Drosophila melanogaster: one gene and its partner. The protein of the gene in region 2 interacts with the protein of the main gene of each other region in a pairwise test. Each region holds a gene or a part of one and is shown on either strand. Other genes may lie near its edges.

Evidence for each region.
Region 1: the proteins of dati (region 2) and CG18731 interact in a two-hybrid assay, tested with the Drosophila melanogaster proteins (one large-scale study listed by BioGRID).

Annotation. Positions count from the first base shown.
Region 1 is NT_033777.3:29,723,350-29,728,756, reverse strand, and holds CG18731 (uncharacterized protein), read right to left. Parts: upstream 3,731-5,407; 5' UTR 3,584-3,730; intron 3,535-3,583; exon of another isoform or gene 3,520-3,534; 5' UTR 3,503-3,519; coding exon 3,143-3,502; 3' UTR 3,067-3,142; downstream 1-3,066. Other genes in the region: Kul (Kuzbanian-like), read right to left, coding at 1-652, 708-1,101, 1,172-1,355, 1,627-1,729; Naa40 (N(alpha)-acetyltransferase 40), read left to right, coding at 3,891-4,261, 4,318-4,555; Pcd (pterin-4a-carbinolamine dehydratase), read right to left, coding at 4,611-4,910, 5,169-5,319, 5,401-5,407.
Region 2 is NC_004353.4:389,474-399,371, forward strand, and holds the start of dati (datilografo), read right to left. Parts: upstream 6,133-9,898; 5' UTR 4,389-6,132; intron 3,938-4,388; exon of another isoform or gene 3,790-3,937; intron 2,072-3,789; 5' UTR 2,059-2,071; coding exon 952-2,058; intron 1-951.

The sequences.
Region 1 (5,407 bases), on a different chromosome or scaffold from region 2:
GATTGGGTGCGAATATGATCTCCGGATTGTAGTTGTTCACAATGATGTTTGGCTTCTTGGTGGCTCCGTTCTTCGTGATGATCTCCACATGCGTCTTGTGGCTGGGCCGGTCGTTGCCATTGTTGTTGTTTCCCAGAAAGAGCGTCGTCCAGTTGGCATTGAAGAAGTTACTGGGCAGCTCGCGGGTGCCATTGTTATTCGGCTCCTCGTAGGGCGTTCCGAATTCCGGTTCGATGGGTCGGTTGTACGTGCTTACAATAATGTTCTTGTGTTTCGTGTACAACTTCCGCACATTGTTATTACTATTATTATTATTATTGTTGTTGTTGCTGTTATTGTTGTTACTATTGCTGTTGGCGTTGTTGTTGCCGCTGCTGTAGCTGCGACTTCCCTCGCCGAGATTGGAGGGATTGTAGTTATTTACAAGTATGTTGCGGTTCGACGTGGGCTTAGTCAGAGTGGCCAGGAAGCTCTCGGTGCTGCGCACAGTGCTCCTGGTTGTGGACGTGGTCGGGTACTTCCGCGGCGACTCCTCGCTCTTGTCCTCTTCGGAGGCCAGGACGCGAAAATCATCGTTGTACGGCACCTCCAAGTCCAGCGGCAGGGGCGGATTACGATTGTACGTGGGGGCCGGAGCATCCGACATGGCCAGCTAAAAGGTGAGATTCATTAAAATGGGATTTAGAGTGCATTCTTCGGATACTCACCTCCTCTGGCAGCCACCGCTTCTTCCTCAGCTTTTCGCTGGCGCAGTGCGTCTTGGCGGGAGTGGCGGAGTTGAGTCCTCCGCCGGTGAACTGCTGCTTCTGCATATTTACATCGCTTAACTTATAGACTATGCTGTGGACACCGCTCTCGGCTAGCTGCTGGGAATACCGATGCGCCGGCTCGATGTAGTAGTGCTCCGCCTGGGTCTCTATCGTGCCGTCCAACAGGTTGTCGCTGGTGAGGATCGCCTGGACGTGGGCCGCCTCGTCGTCCTCCAGGCTGCCCGTATAAATGCGCGACACATCGTAGTCGATGGGGCCCAGAGTGTTCTCGATCTCCACATCGTGGGCGAACACCGAATGCGGCTGTTGACGCAGCACCAAGCGGAAATCTCTGCGTGAGGAAGGCGGTTTTAGGTGATTAAGTGATTACCTTTTCGGCTGGCGATATCGAGTGCACTCACCTGTCGTGGGCGGAGAAATTCAAGCGGATGGTGTGCGCCAGTCCACTCGCCGAGGGGGTCACCTCTCTCTTCTGCCGGAAGCGAGCCTGCTCCAGGTGCCTGACCTGCGCCGCCTGCAGCACCTGGCGATCGAAGTTCGCCGCCTCCCAGTGCTTGATGTAGGGCGTCAGCCTGTGGGTGTAGCCTGTAAGAGGAAGGGGGCATTTTAGGGGTTAGTGGGAGCGGGAGAAAGCTGCCAGCGGCGATGACAAGATGAAATTTCTCTTAACTAAGTGATGAACAAATTTGTGGGTAGGCTATAGAAAGCAACTGATTAAGAGGATTACAGTGTACTTAAGAAAACAAATATTGATACGATGATGATATACAAATAGCATATTTGAGGAAGCCTCTTTGTAAAAAATCAGATTGTTTAATTTTTTAGATTTTGGGTTATCTTTTAAAGCCCGACTCACCTGGCAGCTTGAGCGGCGTGGGAATGGCCAGGATCTCGCCGGGCAGCCACAGGAGCCAGAGGAACAGGACCTGGAGCCCGAGGAGGCCCAGCAGCCAGCTCATCGTGGGTGCGATCCGGGTGCGATTCTAGATGGCCTGGACTACTCGAAGGTTGTGTTTTTCGAACTCGACCCCTGCTGCTGCATCACATCATTTGTTATTCGTTATTTGTTATTGTTGTGGGATTCGCTGCGAGGAAGTGGCTCCAATCGGTGACATCTCCGCGGTAACTGGAGGAGTGGAAAAGTGCAGAATGCGGAGTGGAGAGGTGAGAATCTAGAACGGTTATGATCGCGAGATGATTGCATTAACGGTCCGTGGCACAAAGAAACTGCATTGCGTATACGCCGTGTGCTCGCATCTCCAAGTGGCTTTCACCTTTTACGTGAAATCTTTTGTTCAGCTCGAAAATCTGTGTATTTTGTTCTGTTTTTTTTTCGCTGTTTTGCGTCTTTTTGCATAAATGGCAAAAGCAACAAACGGCAAGAAGAAGAAGAGCGTCACAGCATCTCATTAGCACCTCACACACATACACACACGAAGCAGTGTCGCTCGCATTGGTGTGCCCGTGAAAAATACTGTTAGTTAGGCGCTCTCTTCGCCACTGCTTCCCTCTCTTACGCGCAAACCTATTGGCCAATGAAATTAAATGCATTCTTTGACAACCGTTTAATTGGATAATTATTGTTTTTGCCCAACAATCATGCGTGTGTGTGTGTATTCTACCTGAGCTTTGGGCCAAAAAAACCCCCACTGCTCTCCCCACTCTTTCTACTCGTTGCTCGCTGTTGTTGTTGCGCTGGTCGAAAACCAAAATAAAATACACGTAAAATTCAATTAGCCACAAATTGTTGCACTCTTTTTTTCCGTTTGCGTTAATTGGATTTGCGGAATTTAGCCAAATATATTGGACCAAACACACACCACACACACACAGGGATAACCATCGACCTCCGTTAATGGCGTAAATGGTATAAGCCAGTCGCAGGTTTTTTTTTCTATTTTTTTTTTTTTTTCGTTGTTGCCACGGCCTAAAACCTGTTCTTCTGCCCAATCATCCAGGCCTAAACCGAGCGAATTTCACGACTAATCGTGCCGTTTTAGGACTTTCTGATCTGTTGATCTATGTTTTGATTAACTTATTTGCTTGGCTGCTTACTTTTCACAGTCACTGGAGCAATTGCATTACAATTGCTTTTTCTGCGCTTTTAACAACTTTTTTCGACCACCTTACCATCCACCAAGCAGTGTGACCACACCGCGCATTGACCGTTAAAATGTCAGGCTCAGAAAAATACACCTCGCGGTTGAAAAATATACCGCAAACGTACTTTGAGCTGAAGTTCTAGCCGGGACTCGAACCACAGTGCAGTGGGCCTAAAGTGAATATTCTCAAGATTGTGGAGTTTTTAGGTTTTACTTGTTACCCGCTCGTGCATTCAACAATAGTTTAAGATAAGGTAGCTTAATGATAGATTAACATTTAAGGGCTTCTTTGACCAGTGCCTGCTGCTTTTGGATGTCCGTTCTCAGTTTATCCGCGTTATTTTCCAGCTTCGCATAGCATTCTTTTAACTGATTTCGTTGGGTCTCCAGATCTCCCACGGTGGCCGACAGTTTCTTCACCTTCTGATCGTACTCGTCGAACATCTGCCACCATGTTGAAAGGGGAAGATTCTCTGGTTCAGTCATGAAAGCGTGCTCCAAGTCCAAGTTGTCTGTAGATCCGCTTATCGTAGGCTGATTGACCTCGAACGTTTCCATGTCCGCCAGCATTTCCTCTACACTGGGAGCCGTGGGTGGAGGCTCTACTTTGGGCCTGGACTTCCTAAACATCGTCTGTTTCCTTGAAACTACAATTTAGAGAACTGGAAACGTCAGCACTTGTTGAATTGGGGATTCAATATGTGGGGTTACCTGATGTATCGAGTCTCGTAGTCTTAGTGATATTAAGGTTAATTATCGTACTAACAATTTAGTCTAAAACCCGTATATAAGCCGTAAAATGGAATTCAATAAATTTTCTGCAATTGTTTACAAAACAGTGGTAAATAATGAAGTGGCCAGTAATTATTATTTCAAAAATACCAATTAAAGTTAATCTGTGTAATCGATAGCAGTCTCTATATAAGCAATAATAGTTTGTTTACCACTGTGTGCCATCCCTAATTTGCGCGGCATATTTTTAGTCGAATTGCCATTTTTACAAAATTTTAAGCAAACAATGCGGAATCAGGACGATCTAAGTCAGGGCGCCAAACAGAGATTTGTGGAGACGGCTGCCAGGGCCAAGAATCCCCTCGAATCTCTGAGCTACCAAAGCTACAAAGCCCCCAGCGGAGAGGAATTCAAACTCATCTGCCGAGCGAAGTCGGATGCGGACTCCAAACTGCTGAAATGGGCCTTTAAGCTGGCCGAGACGAACGTGGGACCCTATTACAAGCAACTCAAGATGGGCTGGCAGCCCAAGATCAAAGCCGCCGAGCTGAACAAGAACTGGGCTCGCTACTTGGTGGCCCAGAACGAAAAGAAGGAGAACGTGGCCTACGCAATGTTCCGCTTCGACATGGATCACGGGGACTGTGTCCTGTATTGGTGGGTATTCCATAAGTAAAGCCCTTATGCATTAATTACGTAGAACTTCCTTTCAGTTACGAAATGCAAGTGGCTGCAGAGTATCGTAGAAAAGGCCTGGGAAAGTTCATCATGAGCACTTTGGAGGACTGCGCTCGCCTGTGGCATCTGGAAAAGGTCATGCTGACCGTTCTCAACAACAACGAAGCCTCCATTTCCTTCTTCAAGCAACTGGGCTACGTCAAGGACGAGATCTCGCCAGATGTCCTGGAACAAGCCGACTACCAAATCTTTAGCAAATCGATGCTAAGCTGAGTATTTATTGGACACCGAAGATTATAGATATTTAGCAACTAGTATAACAATGCGTTTATTTCAACAAATTGGCCGTGGTCTCCAAGTGCGTGGCCATGCGAATGTCCTGCGAACTGAGACCGCCCACGTCGTGCGTGGACAGGGTCACGTCCACCTTGTTGTAGCAGTTGAACCACTCGGGATGGTGGTTGATCTTCTCGGCCAGCAATGCCACGCCCGTCATGAAGCTGAAGGCCTGGTTGAAGTCCTTCAGCACGAACTGCTTGAAGATGGCGTCGCGCCCCTCCACCAAAGTCCAGCCGGCGTCCAGGAGGGGCTGCAGCTTCTCGGCGCGTTCCTGTTCGTTTAGTCGTACCTAAAGGGCAGCGAGCAACAAGTATGTGAGTGTTATTGATTCATACGATATATATACAAAATAATTTGTGAGCGAAAAACCTCCATTTCTGGCCAAAATCACAGTGATTCTATTTGTTAGGGCATAAAGCACTTTCCGAAAGTCCAAACCTGTCCTTGGGTGGTCGATTGATTTCAGTTGGAGGCGATAAGGGAACCACTCGATTTCGCTGAGACTCCGTTCACCTTGATCTCAAACTCACTTTCGGCTCGTACTTACCACCATTTTGCGCTTTTTCGCTGTGATTGCGGTTGCTGTTGCTTCTGTGGTTGGGGTGTTGTGGATTCTCCGGAGATTCGCACTGCCACCAGTTGCTGCCCGTGCTGCTTCTCTCGCTGCTGGCGAATACAGAACTGAGATTTGCGACAGGCTGCGCGAAAAATAAAGCTCAGATTTAAGTTTGGTATTTTTGCCCCTCCCTCCCCTTCCGCACATTCCACCTTTTGAATACCTTCTAC
Region 2 (9,898 bases):
TTGTACTTTAGATGTGATTATGAAATTAGTTTTTTTTTTATTATGCCTGTTACGAATACATTAAAATACAGTGAACTACTACAGTCAATCCGGCAATGTTAGTCTTTCCGTCCGTATGTCAATCTATATGAACGGTGTGATCTCAGGAACTGTAAAAGCTTGAAAGTTAAGATTAGACAATTGTATTCTAGAAGTTTTTACATTTTACAAATTTGTAAATTTGTATTTCCCATTAAACACAAAAACTATCACGCCTTCAACTTTCCAAAATGCGTTGATGCGTGTTGATTTTTGTTTTCATACCCATTACTCGTAGAGGGAAAGTGTATACTAGATTTGTTTAAAGGTATGTAACAGGTAGAAGGAAGCGTTTCCGACCATATAAACTACATATATTCTTGATTAGCATCAAAAGACGAGTCGAACTGGCCATATCCGTCTGTATGAACGTCGAGATTTCAGAAACTATCTAACTAAAAGCTAGAAAGTTGAGATTAAGCATAGATCGCAGCGCAAGTTTGTTGCTACGCATCCTCTAACGCCCACAAAGCGTCCAGAACTGCCACTCCCACGCTCTTGCAAAATGTATTCATATTATTTCATCGATAAAATAAAATCGATTTGCCAAAAAACTGTTTGCCACGCCCCCACAAAAAATGTTTTGATTAATCTTCGTTTTCATTGTCTTGCCAATTTTTATTGACATACCAAAAACACTTTGGCCACGCCCCTACTTACACCTGCAAAACGTCCAAAACAGTCACACAATTTTGAAAGTTCATTGTTGCGCTCGTAACAGCTAAATATCGGGTGTACATATAGTCTAGTCTAAAAACTCGAATAGCGTTCTCTGTTGATTTTTTACTACTCTTGTTTGGACTGCATCGAATATTCGATTACCAGGTTCCCTTTAAAGTATATAGATAAGCAGAAAAATCTTCAAAACAATACCTGAATTTCATTGGCCATTTTGTCGTTATTGTATTTGATGTCGGGCGTCGTGCTGCCTCCGGATGGCGTTGTAGAGTGCTGAGGGGACTGCTGACCCTGCGAAAAGGTCTTGCTTATTGTTGTGGGTGCGGATCTTCGTCCTGCGCCCAAATTCGAGCTACCAACTGTTCCAGGGGACATTGGCTTGCACTGATGAGTCTGCAATGCTCGGCCAGTCCCTGCCAGCTGATGAGACGGCGCACTGGACTGTGCATCGTCGGTGGACACCGTACTGGGTGCTCCGAGTCCGATTATCAGTGCTCGACCTTCCGAGATTTCTCTAGCCTGTGGGTCGGCCACGTCGTAGTAGTCTCCGCCGTACTGGGACTGGGCCTGCGCCTGAACTAGAGGGTGGGGACACTCGTCCAACGGCTGTAGGGGCGTCTTCGCATCCATCTCCTGCTTGGGCTTGATCCCACATAAGGCGTTTAAGGATCCTTGTCCGTAGTTGCGAAGGTTATTTTGCACCTGATCGCCTATTGGCGAGAGGTTATTCTGCATCGCCGTGGACTTGAGGTGGACCGCCGCAGCAGCGGCTGCAGCGGCGTTAAACAACAGGTGGTGGCTACTCAGCTGGGGCGACTGCGTTCCTCGGAAGGAGTCGCTTCCATATGACTGCTGCTCTGAGTGCTGCTGCGGAATGTGACTGGACTCCGCCTTGCTGCCCACAGTTGAATTGGTGCCGGAAATTGCCATGGAACTGTTGTTGCCCACTACGCCTGATCCTGCTGCTGGACCTTCTGGTTGAACTCCGGCCAACTGCTCGTTCTCCTGCGGAACGGAGTGGTGCAGGGCGTGGTGGGATATTGGCTGTTGATTCGGGGGGGAAGAGTATTGGTGAAGCGCAGTTTGCAGACCAAACGGAGCACGCGCTTGCTGCCAGAAGTCTGCGGAGTCCATTTTAAACATTCCAAGATAATTTGTTAGGAGATGGCCAATACAGATTTGCCAGCTCGCTGGGCTTGGCCGTTTTTTTCGATCGGGAGGACAACTGCTTACGACCCTGAACACGGATCTGGGGTGCCAACTGTGCGAAGTTTGGGCCTGGTTAAAGCATCGTAATTTCATATCATTTTATTGCCTGTAAAACAAAAAAAGTTGTTAAGCGTAAAAGGGTTTTTTGAATTTTTAAAATTGGGCGGTTTTAGGGGTCAGAGTGGGCGTGGTCAATATGTTTTCGGCATATAGATTGAAATAAGGAAAACGACTTATTTAATCCAACAAAATTGAATCATTTCTTAAAAGAGTGGGTGTGGCATTTTTGGGCGGTTTGTGGGAGTTATAGTTGGCGTGGAATAGTTTTTTTTGCAACTCGATATAAATTTACAAAACTAATAAAAATATGAAAAGATAACGAAATATTTCGAATTTCAAAAAGGTGTCCGTGGCAGGTTAAGGCGCTTTGTGGGCGTTAGAGTGAGTGTGACAATATGAGTCAACAAACTTGCGCTGCGTCTATGTATTCAGAATGAATGCTTGTTTCAATCCTCATAGGTTGAGGCGGACATGGCCAGTTCGACTCGGCTATTGATTCTGATCAAGAGTATTTATACTTTATATGGTCGGAAATGCTTAACCCTTTTTACTCTACGATAGTCATGGCAGAGGTAATAAAAAAACGTTTTAACAAAAGTTTTGAAATTTTAGTCTGAATTCAACAAACTTTTTTTCTTTTCTTACTCGGGTTTTTTATTGTCAATGAGCAGAAATGTTTGCAAAATTCCAAAAGTAACCCTGCCAATTACTGACAAAAATTTTTTTGAAAAATGTTTATGCTCTTTAAAATGAATGCTAGATGATGAAAATTGGCTTACTAGATTGTTTATTATAACTTACATAATTTTGAAAATCGTGGTTTTTAAGAAAATGTTGTTTAAAGTTTTCGGACAAGAAAAGACTGCTTTGGCGCCAGTTACATCCGGAAGGCTTTCTCCAAAAATTTCTTTAGCTTTTTTGAAGCAGTATACCTATCAATTAAATCATTAAGAAATAACAACATTTCTCTAGTGCCTCAGGATGATTTCCTCTAAAATAATGGATATAAAATTGGAGTGCTTTTTTTTTAAGCCAAACCATGGAAGTAAAACCATGAAGTAAAAAAGTGTATAATGATCTAACTTTTTTTTACACGTATTCTTTCGATTAATAAATCAAATTAAGAATTATTAAATTACTTCCGTATTTTGTATATATTAAAAACGTGAGATACGCATACGTCTCTTAAGATATATATTTAAAATATATATATAAACACCATAGCTAATATATCGGTCATTCTGTTTAAAAAAGTCAGTCTACCAAAATTGCTTTTGTCCCAGAATTTAACGTTTCTGATTCAATTTATAGACAATTTGATTTAAAAGCAATCGAAGGTAGAGCCTTAATATATAAGAATACGGTTTCTTGTATAAGCCAGTTTCTGGACGACTTAAGTTACCAAGCCACATATATGTTGGCATCGGTTTTGAAAAATTAATATATTTCCTCGTAGACGTAGTTGCGTCGAAATAAATAAAACACACAGGTCAATTAGGAAACTTATTCTTGAATATCCTAGCGTCGCACATGGACACTTATAAATTGTTTGTTATTATTGGGGATGGAACATAGTCACCAAACTGTTTTAATCACTTTTTAAAGAAAAGAAACTAAAGTTCAAAGCATAAAAAAACCAAAATTTGTGAATAAAACCAATAATAAGCAATGTGTCGCGTATGCAAGTGTTCGAAAAGGAGCGAAATGTTATCTTGCTGCCATTTGTATAATTGGTGGTTTGGTGCGTATTTCGGTTGCTTTTACCTCTTTACGAGGTTTTTTTTGTTGGAAGAATACAGTGACTGTCTATATGCACGGCCTCGATTACGGTTACGATTACGGCTGAGACTTGGAAGTCGCTCCCAGCAAACAACTACAGATAACCTGGCGGCCCGCGAGTCATAGAAAAACTAATTTGGCCGCCGCCTCGGACAAGTATAAATATGACTGTTGCTGGGGGTTCAGACACGTCTCGTTTAGAAATAGAACTTGCACGCAAAGTGGAGTCGGCCTGAAGTCGAGTCATCGCTGTCGCCATCGTCGCTGGCGCAAAGTAAGCCAAACGTCTTCGTTTCAGGACTCAGCTCTAAGGCCTTCGGCAAAATATCTTCGTCCCGTCTTCGGGTTTACCAAGAAACAGCATCTTTGCTCAGCGGATAATAATGCTCTCTTTGGAATGGCTCTTAGTTGCCAAATCGTGCCACCTCGGAATAACGGTCAAGCCGGAAAACGGAAACTTTGTTCTTGTTACACGTATGTATATATATGCACGCATATGTTTATATATGTGTGTATATAAGGTATGATCGCCATTGTGACTGTAGGGATTCGATATTAACATGGAAGTTAGGATCAATAATTACCTTGAAAACAAACATATTCTCAGGCGATTACAGTACGATGACGGTTACGTCGCAGGTGATGGGCGGCATACCAATCAGGTAATGGTCCTATATTAGAAAATCCTATATCCTATTGACTTTTTACGTGCGACGGCTTTGCAGTTGAATGTCCGTGGGCTTAATATATACTTGAATTAGGTTTTTGATGTATTATTAAAAGTCATTTAAACTTAAGGCCGGAATAAGGCACACGTTACGGTGTCGCGATATATTGGTTATAAAATTCATTTATCGCCTATTTATCCCAAAACATGGAGTTAGATTGATGCAGTTTCTATTTGAATTTGTTTACATATAAATTTAAAAATTTTGTAAACGTTTGAATCACAATTTGTTACCCGATACGATCTACTATTTTGATGCCCAGATTTGTATTGTTCGGAAATACCTACATATGTACGCATTGTGACGTCTCATAATTTAATATACATATAAAAATATAATATGATATATTCCAATTTTAAAATAATTCGAGGTTCACATTTGTAACTTAAACGAATATTTAGTTTAAAATATCGTCCATTATATTACCGAAGAATGATATTTTGATTATTTATAGTAGCAATATCTTTAATTTTATATACTATTTTACGTACTGTTTACTATAATAACCACTATCTCTTCACGCTTAATCATGTATCTATACTATTATTTTTTGAGTATTGCTCTTATCATTAAAAAATAATAAGCGACTTGGTGTATAGTTACGTATGGTTATGCTAGGGCTAGCTGTAGGGTATGTGATAGTTCAAACTGTCTGTTCCGGTGTCAGTGTGTCTTCGGTAATCATTCAGGGAGTGTATTTTGTAGCTGTAGAAAATCTAAATGTTTTATTATATACTGTTTAAATTAGTATTAAGAGACTATATATGCAATTTAAATGACTATATGGTTATGTACACATTTGTGTAAATCATATAAATCATATTTTCGATTAGTAGCCTAGTTTGGACTTAAATCTTCACGTAATCATATTTTCGATTAGTAGCCTAGTTTGGACTTAAATCTTCACGTAATCGTTACTAAAACATACAGTTTTATATTGTATTAAATTTATAATTCTTTTGCGCATTCATTAATGTCGTTTTGTACTTTTGATTTCAATTTTGTTGTAAATTATATTTTTCATTTGTCTAAAAAGTAATTTTTAAATGGGTTTTCTCGTTGGTCTGTTTTTATGTTAGGTTATATTGGTTTAGATGTTATTTTTCGGATTGGTGATGAAGTTAATGTTGATGTGGTTCTTCCTTTTTGGTAATAGGTGTAGAAAACTTAGTTAATTAATGCATCTGTTCTATTGCGTTTAAAACTGAAAGATGGCTGGGTTGAGTTAGGTTTGTCGATTTGATCGTTTAGTTACGGATTCTTCTTTATTGTTAAAAACGATTTTTGGTCTATTGTGTTTGTTAAAATTATGATGATCTGAAATTAAATTAAAAGAAATATTGTTTTCATATTTTCATCTGAATTCAGTAAAACACAAATGAAATCGTCCAAGTAAGCATTGCCAAGCAATTCATTTGTGCTTTGTTTTTTTTTTTTTATCAAACAACTCTATTATTTGGTTAGTTTTTAGTTTTTAGCACAGTCCACAATCATTTTATATCTGGTTTAAGCACATTTGATAAAATAAAAATGATCCGCGAGGTCAGGACGATCCGCAGTCGGTTGTTCTACTCCATGGAATATTGCGTTTCTGAATGCCGCATCCAAAATAATTGAGAATAAAAATCATCGCCTCGGCATACGTTGCTTCCCAAGCTGGAGACTGGGATGGAGACAGCCGGGTGCCGAATTGGGGAAATAGCTGGCAGCAGCGGTGTGCTTATTATAAGATAAAAATTGTGTGTTAAACAAAAAGTGACAGCAGCGGGAGCGACAACAACAGCGAAAGCGGCGGATGTGGATTCAGATCCTTGCACTCGGACAGGGAACCTGTGCCAGCGCCGGCGCTGTTGGTAACTGCAGTTGCAGTGGCAGTTGTTTCAGCATTTGCAGTTGCAGCTCTACACTCAAAAAAAAATTGAATAAAAAAATTTCAATAAAGCACCAATTCCTGAATTACAATTCTTAAGCTCGGAGAGCTTATTGATATTCTTATTGCTCCTCAATTACACCTTGTAGGGATGACCTGATGAGGCCTCTAGTCTCTGTCTAGCCCTGCCCGTTCCCTTCTCCGTCTAAGGCGCGGGATATGGCTTTCTGGTCTTTTTTTCAAGTGTATTAAGCTGCATGCTATTGTTGCCCAGCGCCCATTCACTCCACGTGAGTCTGTGTGCGTACAGTGTACAACATATATGTATGTCTGGCCCATGCCGCTTTCATATGCGTTTTCGTTGCATCATCCCCTACGCCGCCCTCTCCAACTGATAACTCTCAAACAAGCAGGCGGAGGGGGGCTGTTGCACTCGTCGTTGGTCGTCGGGTCCCGTCAGCGCTGCACTTCCGCAGTAACATCCCTTATGGCAGCGTTGCAGCGTGATGACCACTGCAACCACCCAGCAAACCGACCTCCTCCCTGCTGTCTTGCTGCAACCACAGCACAGTCCGTTCTGGTCGGTGGAATGCAAATTTGTGCATGATTTAATGTCTACTTCAAGGCCTCTCTGGCACCTCCTGGCCCTGTTACTACCCCTGCCCAGCTCCTGTTTCTGTCCACGTTCAGCCATCTCCCTTCCGCCGCCGGACAGCCAGCCAACTGTTTCTGTCTAGCTCGAGTTTTGCGCTGCACTTGTGCATGTATGTGCGATATGGCTGCATTTCTGGTCTTCGTCACGGTGCGGCAGTATGCATTTTAATGCTTATGTGAAGTTCTTATGTACAAACACGTACACAATCAAGTGGGCGGCTCGCAAAGCACATAGGCATCCGGAAAACACTATTGAACCCTACCTTTTCAAAATGAATGTGCAGCCGTGTATGCTGCAGCATATACATATGTACATATTTAGGTAACGTTAGCCGCCACCTCTGCTGCTCAATCGATTTTGGTCTGTGCTTTGGTCTGTGGGAATCGACCTCTATCGATTTTCTTTAATATTATATTTATTTATGTACACACATACATGCATGCATTCGCAACAATTCGTGGCGTGGAAAAAAGCGGATACCTAGGGTATATGTATGTACATAAATATCTTCTTGCAAATTTGAATATTGTTTTAAAAGTATACACATGCTCAGTAAAAAAAAATTACAGGAAACCCACTATTTTTTTGTTGAAAATTATGTGCTATTCCCATAGATATATTTTACAGCAGTCGTACATGATTGATAAATACCTTATAGTATAGTACATAGTATCTTTTGGTATTTGGCTGCTATCTTGGATAGTGATCGAAGAGGACTTTGACGCCTTTTGGTGAGATAGTAGACAAGGCTACCATGAAGTCGCATTCACATCATCTCATAAAAGAGATCATAAACCCGAAATTCTATCAAGTCAGTCTAAATACAACTAGTCAATCCGCATACATATCTACATAATCTAAGGTTCAATCGGTCGACAGCTACGCATGAGCTTTAGGCAAAACCTAGGGTCCCGCGGTCTTAAAAATGGGCTTACAGTGTACAGCTAAATACAAGGACAGACCGAGCATACCAAATGTTCAAACTCACTTGACTCAATTGGTTAAGCTGAGAACTTGTGCTCAGAAAACGTGTTGTTAGGTTGGCTCAATTACGCACGTCAAACCCGGTCACGCTTACCTCAAACTGTCCTGATAGTACGGAAACACTTTTAGCTTTCCTTTTAGCATCCTAACTCTCAAGCAAATATAAAAATGATGGCTAGTTTTTCAAGATGTCCAGCAGTGCAATGCAAAAGAGATAAGCCGACCTTCGGACCACTAATACTTTTCTTTCTTGGCATAGTCTAACTTAGCAGTACTAAGTTATCTTAATAAAAGTAGCGGTCTCGAGCCAAAAGTTTTTAGGGTATAATATAATGCAGGCCTATGTATCTTTACTTTAGAAACTGTATACTGAGTGTACCAAATGCACTTTAGCATATGTATGTGTTGCATGTTGAGTGTGTGTTTTGTGTGCACATGCATGGTAAACTCATAATTGGTGCGGGTTCGGTATTTGTGGGCGAACGGTCATAAGGCAGCACTTCCACTCCATGACTGTGGCGAGCCTGCACGAATAATACTTATAAATTAATAAGCATATTCACATTGCGCGCATCCTTCCCATCTCTATTCTTGCCTATGTACGTATGCCAATTAGGGCTTATACATGTATATGGTACAAATATAGATCCGAATGGTTTTAAATCTCTTGCAATCGTTAAAACGAAATATCCATTCACTAATCAAGCAGACAAAATGTCCATCCAAATCGATCAAGAAGCCCGCTTTTCTGTCGTTCTGCTTATAAATGCTAGTCTGAAAGGCGGTTCAAGCTGTGGTAGTGACGTCGCATCAATAGAACACGAAGGCGGTTAGTCAATTTGAAATTTTTTAGAAAATAATATGAAATAATATATTATATAAATAAAAAAAGAATTCCCCTTCACCGGACGGTGTGTAAAATCAGTAGAAAAGTTGGTTGTAATTGAATACAGAAATAACTTGAAAGATAAACATTTCTTACACATATACTCTGAAAAGCTCCAAATATCAATCAAGCCCATAGTTTAAATATTTGTATTATTATAAACAGTACGCAACAACAAGATTATCCCTGTTTACTCATTAAGTAAAGTCCTCCCACCCAGCATTTTAAACCACGGCAAAGAAAATTCCGGTATACCACTTTCTCCTTGCAAGTACTAGCATATGTAATCAAATCGGATAATATTACGCATTCGGACTGTACAGCGCTGCCAGCAGCCGTGCAATACGTAAATTATATTTGTTTTGTCATAAATAAATGCTAAGTACAAAGAATGCAGCTCCGCATCTGTTTTTGCGTCCATATACTCATGCGCCTACTTATGTGTATACATTAAATAAGTTATGCGAATGTACATATGTATATAGCCACACATTCCAAACTGCGGGACGGTTTTTTGTTTGCTATGTGACAAATGTGGCGTGTATGTTCATGTGTGATTATTTATATACATGTGCATCAGCTTCGGCTACTTTTATTTTTAAGGAAGTCATTGGAAAGTAATTTAAGGTAGGTTTTAAAATAATATAAATCTATATATAATCAGTTCTTACGGCTTAAAATGTAATATCTTTTTTCACTTTAATTATGAGTTTAAGATTAATCATAAATTTTTTTTCTCTTTGCATTTTTTTTTATTAACATATTTACATCTTTTTATGGAAGTCTTGAAACTCGTAATAAATTGTTCCAAAAGATTTAAAAAAGATTTTACCGGCGTTTTTGATCTGCGTCTGTTGGTCTGTTCATGAAGCCTTTGTTTTAGTGCCCTGGGCCCATTTTTATTTTATAAAGCTGCTCTGTTACCATTAAAATAATAATTATTTAAGAGCAGTATTAATCTAAGACAAAAA